Schizosaccharomyces pombe: one gene and its partners. The main gene of each other region encodes a partner of the protein of the gene in region 4 in a complex. Each region holds a gene or a part of one and is shown on either strand. Other genes may lie near its edges. The genes, in order: snr1, nam9, rsm7 and rsm19.

The links.
Region 1: rsm19 (region 4) and snr1 share a complex: the UniProt entries of both Schizosaccharomyces pombe proteins name them as parts of the mitochondrial small ribosomal subunit.
Region 2: rsm19 (region 4) and nam9 share a complex: the UniProt entries of both Schizosaccharomyces pombe proteins name them as parts of the mitochondrial small ribosomal subunit.
Region 3: rsm19 (region 4) and rsm7 share a complex: the UniProt entries of both Schizosaccharomyces pombe proteins name them as parts of the mitochondrial small ribosomal subunit.

What each region holds. Positions count from the first base shown.
Region 1 is NC_003423.3:2,979,210-2,982,972, forward strand, and holds snr1 (mitochondrial 37S ribosomal protein mS47 ), read left to right. Parts: upstream 1-1,792; 5' UTR 1,793-1,852; coding exon 1,853-3,142; 3' UTR 3,143-3,231; downstream 3,232-3,763. Other genes in the region: mmp1 (endopeptidase catalytic subunit), read right to left, coding at 1-89, 133-260; yml6 (mitochondrial 54S ribosomal protein uL4m), read right to left, coding at 452-1,237; fib1 (fibrillarin, rRNA and histone methyltransferase), read right to left, coding at 3,555-3,763. UniProt on the Schizosaccharomyces pombe protein: Component of the mitochondrial ribosome (mitoribosome), a dedicated translation machinery responsible for the synthesis of mitochondrial genome-encoded proteins, including at least some of the essential transmembrane subunits of the mitochondrial respiratory chain.
Region 2 is NC_003423.3:3,727,631-3,731,260, forward strand, and holds nam9 (mitochondrial 37S ribosomal protein uS4m), read right to left. Parts: upstream 1,720-3,630; 5' UTR 1,659-1,719; coding exon 1,623-1,658; intron 1,570-1,622; coding exon 622-1,569; 3' UTR 565-621; downstream 1-564. Other genes in the region: rns1 (putative RNA-binding protein), read right to left, coding at 1-27, 75-180, 247-438; mpg2 (mannose-1-phosphate guanyltransferase), read left to right, coding at 2,187-2,227, 2,291-2,330, 2,431-3,594. UniProt on the Schizosaccharomyces pombe protein: Component of the mitochondrial ribosome (mitoribosome), a dedicated translation machinery responsible for the synthesis of mitochondrial genome-encoded proteins, including at least some of the essential transmembrane subunits of the mitochondrial respiratory chain.
Region 3 is NC_003424.3:3,518,174-3,521,393, forward strand, and holds rsm7 (mitochondrial 37S ribosomal protein uS7m), read right to left. Parts: upstream 1,669-3,220; 5' UTR 1,588-1,668; coding exon 1,054-1,587; intron 967-1,053; coding exon 721-966; 3' UTR 541-720; downstream 1-540. Other genes in the region: RhoGEF Scd1, read left to right, coding at 1-353; transcription factor TFIIH complex subunit Tfb1, read right to left, coding at 2,369-2,446, 2,490-3,033, 3,091-3,220. UniProt on the Schizosaccharomyces pombe protein: Component of the mitochondrial ribosome (mitoribosome), a dedicated translation machinery responsible for the synthesis of mitochondrial genome-encoded proteins, including at least some of the essential transmembrane subunits of the mitochondrial respiratory chain.
Region 4 is NC_003424.3:384,338-387,805, forward strand, and holds rsm19 (mitochondrial 37S ribosomal protein uS19m), read right to left. Parts: upstream 1,834-3,468; 5' UTR 1,813-1,833; coding exon 1,770-1,812; exon of another isoform or gene 1,707-1,769; coding exon 1,601-1,706; exon of another isoform or gene 1,551-1,600; coding exon 1,418-1,550; 3' UTR 884-1,417; coding exon of another isoform or gene 788-883; 3' UTR 724-787; coding exon of another isoform or gene 649-723; 3' UTR 549-648; downstream 1-548. Other genes in the region: pre-ribosomal protein Loc1, read left to right, coding at 1-12, 143-253, 649-723, 788-883; tif313 (translation initiation factor eIF3m), read left to right, coding at 2,007-2,057, 2,121-2,277, 2,449-3,449. UniProt on the Schizosaccharomyces pombe protein: Component of the mitochondrial ribosome (mitoribosome), a dedicated translation machinery responsible for the synthesis of mitochondrial genome-encoded proteins, including at least some of the essential transmembrane subunits of the mitochondrial respiratory chain.

The DNA of each region.
Region 1 (3,763 bases), on a different chromosome or scaffold from region 4:
CGGAAGGTTTTGCCGAAACAACAACATCTCCTACAGAACATGAACGAGCAAACCTACCATGCAATTTATCTAACAAAACGAATTCACCACTTTTTAAGTTAGAACCATAAATACAAAGCGTTATTTCAATACCCAGAATTTAATGTTGGCATCATACTTGGACCCGATGTCATTTGCACTTGAAAAAGATACTCATGAATTTGATGCACAAATGCAGCAATCTGAACGACGGCAATAGGAATACGGAACATGCCAGCCATTGTTAACCAAGAGGTAACTAATCAAGACAGTAAACTAAATAAGCCGAAATTAAAAAATTTAAACACGACAAGAGAAAGGATTGAAAAAAGAATTAATGATTGTGGATTATAATGTTTCCGTAACTACCAAAATCGGAAAATGTAGATTCATGAAATTCAAAAACAATTGAAAGATATGCGTTTATTTCATATCATAGAGATAAAGACGGTTCAGGTTTTGATTTCGTAAAAGAACTACTATTTGCATCAACATAAGCAGTCAGGGAAGCAGGTTGATCCATATCACTTAGTGTATTTCGTTGAGCAAACTTCTCTACAATTAACGACATGGCTTCAGAATCAATAAATAGTTTACCGAATTTTAGTGCATCTCGAACCTGAAACTCACCAACAGGAATAAAGGAGCAATGGTAGCCTAACTGTCTAGATGCAAGCAATAAATTATTATTTTTAAGGGACTCATCTTCAAAGTAATTATCGTTAAGGACAAAAAGTGCCTTCCCGTACTCGTGTCCTAACTTGTGTTGCTTCAAAACTTCAAGCAAAATCCGTGTTTTTGGTTGACTTAAGTTGATGGGATTTTCAAGGATGGTCAGTTCATTATTAATAAATCTTGTACTTAGCGCAATCCTCATTGCTAAATTATAAACTTGGGTTTGTAATTTTGTACTGAAATCTCTAGGCTTAGGACCATGTGATTTAGCACCACCTCTTCTTATAGGACTTGAGGCATCGCCTACCCGTGCATGTCCTGTACCTTTTTGTCGATAAAGTTTTCGACCGGAACAAGTAATTTCATTTCGGCGCTTTGAGCTAGCAGTGCCTTGACGGTCATTATCTGCTTCATAAATAACGGCACGATGCAAAATATCTCGACGAAATCTTTCTTGCAGGAAACTTCCGGGAATAAGAAAAAGACTCGCGGGCTCCAACGACGGAAATTTATATCGCACCAAGTGCAACATTTTTGCTGTCATTCTGATTAGTTTGTGAAATGGACGACTAGTACCTGAAGAATGGATGTATTTTACTTTCAATTAGTCTAACACAATGTACTAAGTATCACAATGCATTTCATTATAACATATTGTGCATTCAAAAGTATCGTAAAGCGTAAAGTATCGAGTTCATTAAATTACGTTGTTTTATGCAACAGGAACTTTATGACTGTATACTGTTAGATAAATTAATGATATCTCATTCATTACCTAAAATAGAAGAAATAATTATTTATACTATGTGATGTCGTACATTAAATATTTGGAATTTGCTCATTCTGACACCTTAAATTGTTGTTGCAAATAGCACCTGTGTATTACAATAACAGTTTTGAGTACTCAATGCTATGCAACAAGTGGTTTAAGACTTTTAAAATCGACAAACCCTGAGAAACTAAATTAATACTAAATATAGATTTTTTGAGACAAGTATTTGCCCAGCTAATGCATGGAAACCTACTTTGTTTTACGAATGGTCTTTTGTGATTTGTTATTAGTTCACAATTAAGAACACACTTCGTTATAAAGTAACGTAGAAGAGACGTTAACCGTCTATGCAAAAATAATCGGTGTTATTTAACTTGGTTAGCTTTCATGGGATTGAAATTAAATATCTCTAACGATTTGAAAAAATCTGGATTTATGTTAAGGCAATCCTTACTTAAAACAAGTGTGTCAAATTTCCTTTCTTTGAATGCAAGTAGCACCATGTCTAGAGCGTTTATTCGAAATCCAAAATTTTATAGCACTTCCTCAAATGATACAGTTTTATACGAGAGTAAAAATGGAGCAAGGATATTTACTTTAAACAGGCCAAAAGTATTGAACGCTATCAACGTTGACATGATAGATTCAATCCTACCAAAGCTAGTTTCATTAGAAGAATCAAATCTGGCCAAGGTAATTATTCTTAAAGGAAATGGTCGCTCTTTTAGTTCGGGAGGTGACATTAAAGCTGCAGCACTTTCAATACAAGATGGAAAATTACCTGAAGTTCGCCATGCATTTGCTCAAGAGTATCGATTAAGCCATACGTTAGCTACATACCAGAAACCAGTTGTGGCTTTGATGAATGGCATCACCATGGGAGGTGGATCTGGTTTGGCTATGCATGTTCCTTTCCGTATTGCGTGTGAAGATACGATGTTTGCTATGCCAGAAACCGGAATTGGCTATTTTACTGACGTGGCTGCCAGTTTCTTCTTCAGTAGACTACCAGGATACTTTGGAACTTATCTGGGATTGACATCTCAAATCGTAAAAGGATATGATTGCCTGCGTACTGGAATTGCAACTCATTTCGTTCCGAAGCATATGTTTCCTCATTTGGAGGACAGGCTTGCAGAGTTAAACACGTCTGATATTTCTAAAATCAATAATACAATCCTGGAATTTGCCGAATTTGCTAGCAGTTCACCACCCACTTTTACTCCAGACGTTATGGATGTCATTAATAAATGCTTCTGCAAAAATGATACCGTTGATATTATTCGTGCGTTAAAAGAATATGCTTCAAACACTAGTGCTTTAGCGGAATTTGCAAAATCTACCGTTAAAACATTGTATAGCAAATCTCCGACTTCAATTGCTGTTACCAATCGACTTATTAAGTCTGCTGCTAAGTGGAGTATATCTGAAGCATTTTACTATGATCATATCGTTTCCTATTATATGCTTAAACAGCCTGATTTTGTTGAAGGTGTTAATGCTCAACTTATTACAAAGACCAAAAATCCAAAATGGAGCAAATCCCATGAATATCACTTTAAAGATTTAGAAAACTATTTCAAGTTGCCTTCAGAATACAATAATGGGATATCTTTTGCTGCAAAAGGAAGACGTAAAACTCCCCTTTGGAATTATAAGACTTATCCTTATTTATAATCCCAAAGGTTACATAAATTAAATATTGTTCTTTATGTCTACTAAGTTTTTTCAGTATTATAATAAGATGATTTATTTCAAAGACCCTGTTATGTTTTAGCATGCGATAAAGCACATAACTCTTTTTAGCAGCTAAAAATAATGATAGCCATTTTAAATACTCATACTAAAACTCTTTTTCGGTAGCTGTGCGTACGATAGTTCAAAAAAAAGAATGCTAACGGCATTAATATATATTCCATAATTCCCATATTGGATCAAACAATGAGAAAATAATTGACAAAACTGCCAAACGCATACCCAAAATATATTTTTATTATTCCAATTGCTCACGGCCTTACCATAAGCTTTTCTAGCAAAAAAAATTATATGATAAACTAAAAAAGCATGCACTTATGGCATATATTTCTGTTTACTGATGTCTCAAGTATTTTCCTACGATGATACAGTGATCACGTTCGTAAGGCTCTAAAGTAAGTTGTTCTTGAGGTTTAATCTTTTCCTCTTGCATTTTCTTAACCTCACGAGCAAAAACAACAGCTGCATCAGCGGTAGAATCAATACAAGAAGCCTTAACAGAGATAACAACTCCACCTTCGTTTTTCAAAAAGGCGGCGGCGT
Region 2 (3,630 bases), on a different chromosome or scaffold from region 4:
TGTAGCAATACCCTTTATTCAATTCAGCTGCAAAGTTAGTGGGTGTAATTCATAAAAAATAAAAGCTCACTCACATTTTTTATAAATTGGCATGAAAATATGATCAATTAGTCCATAAATCCCAAATATTTCTGCTATATGTTCTTTAGTGACATTACGCGTCAAATTTTCCACAAGAATCTATTTTGCATCGTATTAGAAACGATTAGTATGCCTTAAATAACTAATTATACATGGAAAACGTACTGTTCGCAATGGTTCTTCTGGAGATCTGGAAAGCGAACTCGAGTAAGATCTATTCGAGGAAAAAGAATCACGACTACTAGACCGATGTGAGAAATTGGAAGAACGCGACGCTGAACGTCCAGATGGAGATCGGGTATTGTTAAATTGTCTTGTTGAGCTACGTCCACGATAAAAGGCCTCCTTTTGGTACATGAAAAAAGATGTGCCAGTTCTTGTATGTGTATAAGATTTGGTTACGTGGATAGCAGTAGACAGGGCAGTTACTTCATAGAGCAGGAAAACAAAAGTGGAAATCAACATAGTATTACAAAAAGCATAATTGAGAATGTTTTATATTTTATTACTAAACTTTTGAGAGGAGTTCATTTATTCGATTTATACGAGTTTCGTCAACTTTCCTTGACGAACTGGATACCGATGAGAGAATGCTTCTTTGGGAGAAACATTTCGTTTTTTATATAATTCAGGAGGTCCTTGATAAAATGATGCATCGCGTACTTTCTGCGGAATAAGCCGTCTGGCCTGACATCTAGCTGCTCCTTGCCGCATATTACGACTTCTGATATAGTATGTATAGGCTAAAGCGTGCAAGTCTTCAGGAAATGGAGAAGGAACTTCCGTTAAGCCAGGACGAGCAACTGGATCACGCACATAAACAAAGGAACAAGTGCGGAAGCAAACTTCTAAATAAGCAGGGATAAATGCCATTAGTGACATAAACGGTTTAGGAACAAAGTTGGAAATTGTTTCATTGATAGAGGGCAACTTTCCATTAGAAGTCTGTTCAAATAAATCATCATCATTATCCTTTTTTTTTTCATTTTCTCCATCCTTAGAGGACACCTGTTCAGTTTGCTTCCCATCCTGTATAGAAGGGGTATTGTTACTAGAGGCAGAAACACAATTCATTACTGATTTTTGATCAACAGTTACTAAATCACCAGGTAAGAGTTGACGATAGGCACGGCGTTCAGGTTTTCCGTTTACGTGCACTTTTCCATGAAGCACCAGTTGGCGAGCCTGTAAAGCGCTAGACGCAAATAACGCTCGATGAATAGACATGTCTAAACGGGATTCCAAAAATGCATAAGTCTGATTCATAAAAGGGATGGGAAGCTTATTATCTAAGGAAGAAATAACCCCCTCCAATTTTGGGCGGAAGGCATTTTTCAGTTGATATTCGCGTAATTGAGGACCATGATAAGACCTTGTTTCCTTCTTCGCATTCCATTTTTTTTGATATAAAGTTCTATTATTCAGAGCAGGTAGTTGTTTTCTTGCAATGTTGTATATATTGTATTTGTTCCACGACGGACGCAAAAGCTAGATATGTATTAATAAAAGCGAAAAAATCAATAATTTCATATATAACATACACCGCGCTTTAAAGAGAACCTAAATTTCCCCTTCATGAGCAATTAAGTCTTTGTCACGAGAGTCCAATCTTCCAGCGTAGTGCGTGAAGTTGATGGTAAATTCATAAAGGTGATTAAAGAGAACAAATTTTTAAAAAGGCTACTTTTACTCGAAAATTCAATTAGTAAATTTTATTTATTTAAGTTTTAATGCATTATAATTTGTACCAAAGCTAGAAGGTGCTTTACTATTTTCTGCAAAACAGCTGATGATGAGCATTAAGTTCCTCACGGCTGGCAAAGTGCCTCAGCCTGCAGCACAATTTTTAGATCATGGGTTTTTGAACTAAATTGATTTACATTAGTATTTCATTGTTACATAGAGTATTATCTTCTGCAGCCAGGCTATTAAGTGCAAATATGAACTGGCAGAAGTTAGCTCATAGCGCTACCTTCCTTATTAAACAAAGGAGAGCTGGACAGGACTTGCACAGAACCACACACCAAGTTTCAAGAGGCGTATATCTCTTTCGTTTTTGGTGATTTTGATACTCATTATTGATTTTTTAGTATTAAATTGCTATTATGATTTCCTCTGCTGTCATTCTGGTCGGGGGTCCATCTCGGTACGTACCAACGAAAAATAAGTCTATTAAACGCGTGAATATCAGTAACTAATTACTTTGCAGTGGTACCCGATTCCGCCCTCTTTCGTTTGATGTCCCTAAAGTACGTCTTATTTAGAATTTATATGTTGGTAAAATACGTAATCCAGTTTTACTTTCTAGTTGCATTTGAAACATAAGAGCTATTTTGCTAACTAAATTAGCCTTTGTTTAAAATTGGAGGACGAGAAATGATTTACCATCATTTGGCGGCTTTATCCAAGATTGAAAGTGTTAAAGATGTCTTTTTGGTTGGTTTCTACGATGAAAGCGTTTTCAAAGATTTTATCAACGAAGTAGCTTCGCATTTCCCCAGTTTCAATCGTATCAAGTATCTCCGTGAATACAACTGCTTAGGAACTGGTGGCGGCTTATACCATTTCCGTGATCAAATCCTTAAAGGACATACTTCTAATGTTTTTGTTATGCATGCGGATGTGTGTTGCAGTTTTCCCTTACAAGAATTGTTAAACGTTCATCACGAGAAGAAAGCTTTAGTTACTTTAATGGCTACTAAGGTTAGTAAAGAAGATGCTTCTAACTTCGGTTGCCTTGTAGAGGAACCAAGTACTGGGCGTGTACTTCATTATGTTGATAAGCCAAGCTCCTATCTTTCAAATATTATTTCATGTGGTATTTATATCTTTGATGCCTCTATATTCGATGAAATCAAAAAAGCGTACGAGCGTAGACTTGAGGAGGTCGAGAAGCAACTCAGGTCCTTGGATGAAGGAATGGAAGACTACCTCAGTTTGGAGACCGATGTGCTTGCTCCATTGTGCTCAGATTCCTCTAAAGCCATTTATGCTTATAATACTCCTGAGTTCTGGCGTCAAATAAAAACCGCTGGCTCTGCTGTTCCTGCTAATTCCTTGTATTTACAAAAGGCATATCATGATGGTACTCTTCCAAAACCCGACACTGAGGCTGAGATCATTCAGCCGGTTTTTATTCATCCTAATGCTATTGTTAGCAAAGGTGCAAAGATTGGACCCAATGTTTCAATTGGTGCTCGTGTTCGCATCGAGGATGGCGCACGTATTCGAAACTCAATTATTCAAGAGGATTGCGAAATTTCTGCCAATGCTGTTGTTTTACATTCCATTCTTTCCCGCCATTGCAAGATTGGTAAATGGTCTCGAGTCGAAGGTTCTCCAACTCTTCCAAGCCAGCACTCCACTACGATTATGCGTAACAGCGTTAAAGTCCAAGCTATTACTGTTATGGGCGCCGATTGTATAGTCCATGATGAAGTACGCGTTCAAAATTGCCTTGTACTTCCTCATAAAGAAATAAAGGTTGGTTTGGTTGGTGAGATTGTGATGTAAGATACTACATTTAACCTTGCAGCAAACTTGCTTTTT
Region 3 (3,220 bases), 3.1 Mb from region 4:
CTTCGTTAAGCTCGAGTTCCACGTCTACCTCCCTATCAGTTCGAAATACCACGAATGTTAAAATTCGTCTCCGTTTACATGAGGTTAGTCTCGTCCTGGTTGTTGCTCATGATATAACATTTGATGAGCTGTTAGCCAAGGTAGAACATAAAATAAAGCTTTGTGGGATTTTGAAACAAGCTGTTCCTTTTCGGGTTAGACTGAAGTATGTTGATGAGGATGGCGATTTTATAACCATCACATCCGATGAAGACGTTTTAATGGCATTTGAAACGTGCACGTTTGAACTTATGGATCCTGTCCATAATAAAGGAATGGATACTGTGTCTTTGCACGTTGTTGTTTATTTCTAAACTAGCATTGTGCTAGCTGTACATTGTCAATTTAATTTATATAGAGGAAATTAACAGTTTAGTCGATGAACTAATTTACTTTCCCTTCTTTGTTTTGAAAAAACAACAATATACTTCATAGAAGATAAATTCTGTAGCATTTCCGTTAACTGAAAAGGAGCTGTAGAAGAATGTTGATGAATATTATGAAAGTTATTTTACAACCAAACTATAACCTCATAAACATGAATATGATTAACTGCGCACTACGTAGTATAATTGAGTTGATAACTAAGAGTAATCAATTCTCGATATACTAGACAAAAATAACATTACTAAAAGGGAATGCAATTCATAAAAAAGATAAAAATGTACGGAATTTTTGTTTTTATATACGAACGGGTGCATTACCTCTGTTAACAAGGCACATTCTGTGCAGATGATCTTTCTTTTTGAAACAATTGCTTGTCTTGCTCCTGATAGCAATGATTTCTTTAACAATACGATCTGATAATCTTTTAGGACTTGATGATTTACATTCACCGAGGATCCATTGTAACGCAATCCTTCTTCGCTGTCGCTCTTTCAATGGCATAGGAAATTCGACACTTTTGTTAAATCGCTTTGCAGAAACCTATCAAAATATTAGCAAATCCGTCTACACACTATAAAAAGAAATAATTCACAAAAAATTCCAAAATTTTCAATAATTTCGACGTACCAACTTCATTAAGGGAGAAATCTCAGCGATTGCTTGTTTCAAAACATCTATAGGATTTTCACCGGTTTCTTTTTGTATGATAGAGAGCGCTGTTGCAACAATCTTTTCAGCTTTAGCTTTTTTCCCATCTCGCATTATTAAATTCACCAAATGCTGTACTGTAGAGTCGACCTGAAATGGTCGATCTATTAACCCTACAATTGAACTTGACGGAGAAGGCCACAGATTTGTACCCATTAGCGGCGGTTCTTCATTTTCAACTTCAATTTTTTTCTCTAATTCACCCATAAAATCGTCGGAGGCAGACTGTTCGACAGAATCTTGAAGTTGATTCAGTAAATTTTCGAGTCCCGCATTATCCCATTGTGGATTTGAACGTTCATTGATATCTTCAATTTTTTCATTATATTTTTCATTTGAGGTAAATTTTCCAACTTGAAAAGTACGAGTCTGATGGATAAAAACAAGCGACTCTTTCATCAAATGTCCCGAACTCGCACATCGAAACAAAGGTTGCTTTATGAGTCGTAGCATGGCCCTTTATTGTTTGTTCTTTCTTCTTGAATGAAATTTTTAAAACAATTACTCTTATTAATCAAAGCATGTAGGAAAGCTAAGGTGTGCGTAGATGTTTAAGCTTAGTACATATACACTATGGATAAATGAAAGAAAAGGGAAGGGAACTAGGCGCTAGCGTGCTACATTTCAAAGTCGTTTGGCTATTTATTTATTAACTTGAAATAAGATAAATTAGGTAATCGATGTTAAAATATTCATCATTAATTGTGTATCCAAATTTAATACTTGAGCTAGACACAGTTTTATTGGGATCATACAGAACTGATACCTTGAAAGAAAGTAAAAAAAAAAGTTATATATAATATACAGAGAAGCGATAAATTGAAAAATTGTAAAAACAAGCATTTAAAACAAAAGAGAGAAATTATGGGACATTAATTAATTGAACATCAGTTTATAACATACTATATTCGTGTCATAAAACGAATTTTAATAAATAATAAAATCTATAAAGACATAAAAACATTAGATTTTGGCCTATGAGCACAGTAATCTAAAAACAGTTTTGATTGTCTTTTGAATCTATAAACCAAAACAAAAGTTTTTTAATTCAAGAGTTGTATAAACAGAAAAAGAGCCATATCCAGCATTTCAATGTTCATTTTTTCCAGCCTTTATGAAGAAAGAACATTAAGTCCAATAAAGAATATATCAATATATCATTAACCTCTATATGGAAAAACAGAAACAATTACCTTTTACAAGCACAATTGAGTTTCCAAAGACATTATCAAACCTAAGCAGGAGGATAAGACATTCGTCTTTGATACTCCGAGATTGACGTATCAATAGAAGTGAGCGTACAGGATACCAACTAATCCTAGTTAATAATCAAAATCTCTACAAAAAAAACTTACCTCATAAACCAGTTTTGGATCAACGTTTTGTTCCTGAGCCTGGCTCGCAATTGCCTCCACCCTTTTTTTCGAATTTAACAGAGCATTCTGAAGGGGGGCCATCGCCTTCTTGTCCGGGAAAGTTGTATTCAACAAGGCATTCCAAAATTGATGCAAAAATTCTATCGTAACGGTATGGCACAAAACAATTTCATTTTTTATGTCAATAGGTAAATTTGATGCAGTGCCGTGGGTCTCAAACTCATGCTTTTCGCGCATACTCTGAGTAAGCTGCATAGCGGCTTCAGCCAAAGAGTCAGAATCATGTTCAATGTGATTTAAGCTTATCGAATCTTCCTGGTATAAATGTTGAAGAGCTTCCAATGAAGGCAAAGGCTCTAAACCAACTTGATTTTTTGAGGGGACAAAATTATTTTCCAATAACTGATCTTGACCTTTGATTTTTAAGACAACTTTAGAGTCACTGGCTTCTTCTTCTAAATCGTGAAAACCAGATTCTTTTAAGTATGTTTCTTCATTTTCGTTGTTAAATCGTTTAGAGTTTCTACAAGTTGTTAGGCATACCGAAGCAATAACAATTAATAAAACCGAATATACATACCCCAAACTTTTTTCCAAAAGTCTTTCCGAAAGCTGATTGATGTTTTTCATAAACGGTAGAGCTTCTTTGTCAATTCGCATAGTGATATCAGGTCTAAGTTCTGCTATTACATTTGCATTTTGATCATTTC
Region 4 (3,468 bases):
AAACCAAAAAATGTATGCTCCTTCTTCCTTCACAATTTACGAACCATGTAAAAGGGGAGTTTCTTTTCTCTTCTTTAAATGTTTCTTTGTTTACTTTTACTGGTAAAATCGAACCCTTTTTTCTAACTTTTTCTTTTTGTAGCAAATTCGCGTGGAGGATTTGGACCTTCCCAAGCTAAACACTTCTAAAAATCCCCAAACTAAGATTCAGAAAAAGGGGAAGAAGAAGGGGAAAATATTTGCTGAAACTAAGGTAATTCATTCTCACATCCATGTTCTTTCATTATAGATGTTGAAAATGCTTCCATTTACTCAACAAGTAATATTCAAAAACATTAAACAACAAAAATCTCAAGTCAGTGTGGTAGATGTTACGATGATAAATATCTCTCTATATAAATCCTACAAATCTTGTTTATAAACTTTCAAGGCCCTGAACCCTATTCTTCCGCATTCGTTCCTCTTTACCACCAGATCCGACAAATAAGGTTTTAAGTGAACTTGCTGCGCTTTTTGAGTCATGTAATCTAATTTTTGATCTGATTTGGTTTGTTTGTTTTTTTACTTTTTGATTTTAATTGATGGGCATTCCTTCATCTATTTATTCATTTTCCACATTCATTGTTCATTAACTAATTGCTGTTACAGGATGACCTTCAAAATATTCTCAATCAAGTTACTTATGAGCTTGACGATAAAATAAAATCTAAACTTCAAGTGGCTGTAAGTATTTCCATGAATTATTTTGATTTCAAGTTTCAGTCAATTTACTAACTATTTACGTTAGCACGAGCGCGAAGCCGTCTTTTCTAAACAATCTGACAGAAAAATCAGCAATAACAAAGCTGATAAAAAGACGGGTCGGAAAAACGAAAAGAAATGAGTTATTCAATTGTTATAACGACACTTCCAAAGATCCTTTTTTTCGTATTGCCTTTCAATTATTAATTTTTCATTTTCTTTTGGGATATCGGGTTCATTCGGTTTTTCGATGCTGTTAATTATTCATTATACAGACTACTAAATAAGTACAACCAATAACATTAAACACATAAGCCATTGCGTTTCAAATTTAAAAATAAAAAATCCAAGTAGGGGAATGCAAAATTCTTTTGTAAAACATTGACAGAAAATTATGCAACATCATATCACTTTTTCATACATACATTTATACGTGCAAGTACATCCATTGGAAGAAGTGCTGTCATTAAAAGCCTGAAAGTAATGAAAAGATTCGGCGAATTATATATTCGCTTTCTTACAGGAAATGTCCTACAAAATACTAATATGGTAGCTCCATTTAAAGTCACGAATTGAAATTTTGAGGCAGACTTGAAATTCTTGGTAGTTATGAATCCATGTGAAAAGTGTTTTGAATAGGCCATATAGCCCAGTTTTCGCCAAGAATCCAAAATAATTACCGATTTTTAGTTTGTCTGTAATGAAATGCTTTTCTGGTAGGTGCAAATTCACCTAATTTATGCCCGATCATATCTTCTGTAATTTTTACATTGGCATATGATTTACCATTATGAACCATAAATTGAGCACTAGAATTTAGTTAGTTAACGTCCACACTTGCTAAATACGAGTATCATACCCAACCATTCTAGGTAAAATAGTTGCAGATCGCACAGCTGTTTTTATAGGAACGTTTCCTTTAATACATTGCTGAACGTTGACACCGAAATCGACCACGTTGGGTCCTATAATGTCAGAATAACAGGTTCTAAATTATTTTCAAAACAAGTATATTTATATTCATTTACCTTTCCAGACTGACCGAGCTCTGGCTACACTAGTCCAAAACATGAGGTGAAATGTTAGAAAGCTAGTTAATTGCTAATGCAGCAATCGTTAATAAATGTGAGGTAGCAACCTGGTGTTGTTACTTCCACTTCGTTTTAACCATTGAACGAGGTGGAGGTGCCAAGTCCTACTCTCCAACTACCACTAACAGCGAATATTTGCATTTCTCGTCTGCTAGATTCGTATTAATAACAGAGATGGAAGGCTCTGATTTTATTTTGGTAGTTGACTCTTCCGTAGAGGAACAGGTATGTCGCTAATGACTCGGCGATTTTTGGTAAAACTTTTTTCAACTAACGAAATTTCAAAAGGTGGAAGAATTGGCTATGTATTTGGATAATCTTGAGGCTAATACCGATAAAAATGTACTTGCTCTTTGCCGAGAATATTTGGCTTCTGAAAATGTTAAAGAAGTTCTTAATCTGTTTCTGACTCGCTTGCCATTGTTGGCACAAGCACCTGAGAAAGGTAATGCAAAATAGTTTTAGGCTAGGAAATTAAAGAATTATTTTAATAAGTGCTAAAGGGCATTTGTTATATTGTTAGTTCTGAAAGTATACTATGAGCTGATGTGTTTGGTTTGCAGCTTTCCAAGTTTTCGCTTATTTTCTCTTCCATGCTATTACTAACACGAAACAGAACTCGAGCCTATTTTAGCCGTCTTTATTAATCTTATCCAAGAATCTGCTGCTTTCGAAGATCATGTTTCTAAATTTTGCCAAGCCTTAGAGCAGATTGCCGATCAAAACAACAATCTCACTCCTGCCATACTCAGTGTCTTAAGCATTTTATTTAATACGGCCGTCAAAGAACGTCAACACGCACGTTTAAGCATTCTTACTAGTGTTGTTACTCTCACTACCCGTTATTCCTTGTTTAGCACTCTTGCACCTAATTTGAAATACTTCCCTGACTGGCTTAAAGAAGCTGGTGTCAGTGTATCGGACCATCGGGCATTTAATATTTTTGTTTCTAAAGCTATTCAATCATACGATGATGAGCAATCATTTGCTTTCCTTTTGGAAGCCGTAAAAATGGACAACTCAACTGCTGACGAGGCGGTTCGCGAATTAGTTCAACGCGCTGTTAACAGCCCTAAGTACTTTTTCTTTGATGATATTGTCACCCTTCCACCCGTTCAGCAGCTTGAACAAAGTACTTTACAGTTACTTGGTATTTTGTCCGGCGGGATGACCGACGATTATGTAAGTTGGGTTGCCGAAAACCATGCTCATTGCCAACACCAAAAATTTGATGAAGATGCAATTGCACGTAAGATGAAACTTTTAACTATTGCTTCATTAGCTACCCAGGCTCCCAATAATACATTATCCTATGGTGATGTAGCCAAGAGTTTGAAGATTGATGAAAATGAAGTAGAATTATGGATCATTGATGTTATTCGTGCTGGACTTGTTGAAGGCCGCATGTCTCAGTTGACTAAAACGTTATCCATTCACCGTAGCAGCTATCGTGTCTTTGGTAAGCACGAATGGGTTGCTTTACACGAAAAATTAGCTAAATGGGGTTCAAGTTTACGTTACATGCTACAAGTAATGGAGCAACCTTTATCTAGCTTTACTATAGCCTCTAGCAAAAAGGGAAATAGAGACGGATCCGCGGTCACAGCCTCTGAATAGTTCATTAGAAAAATAAAAT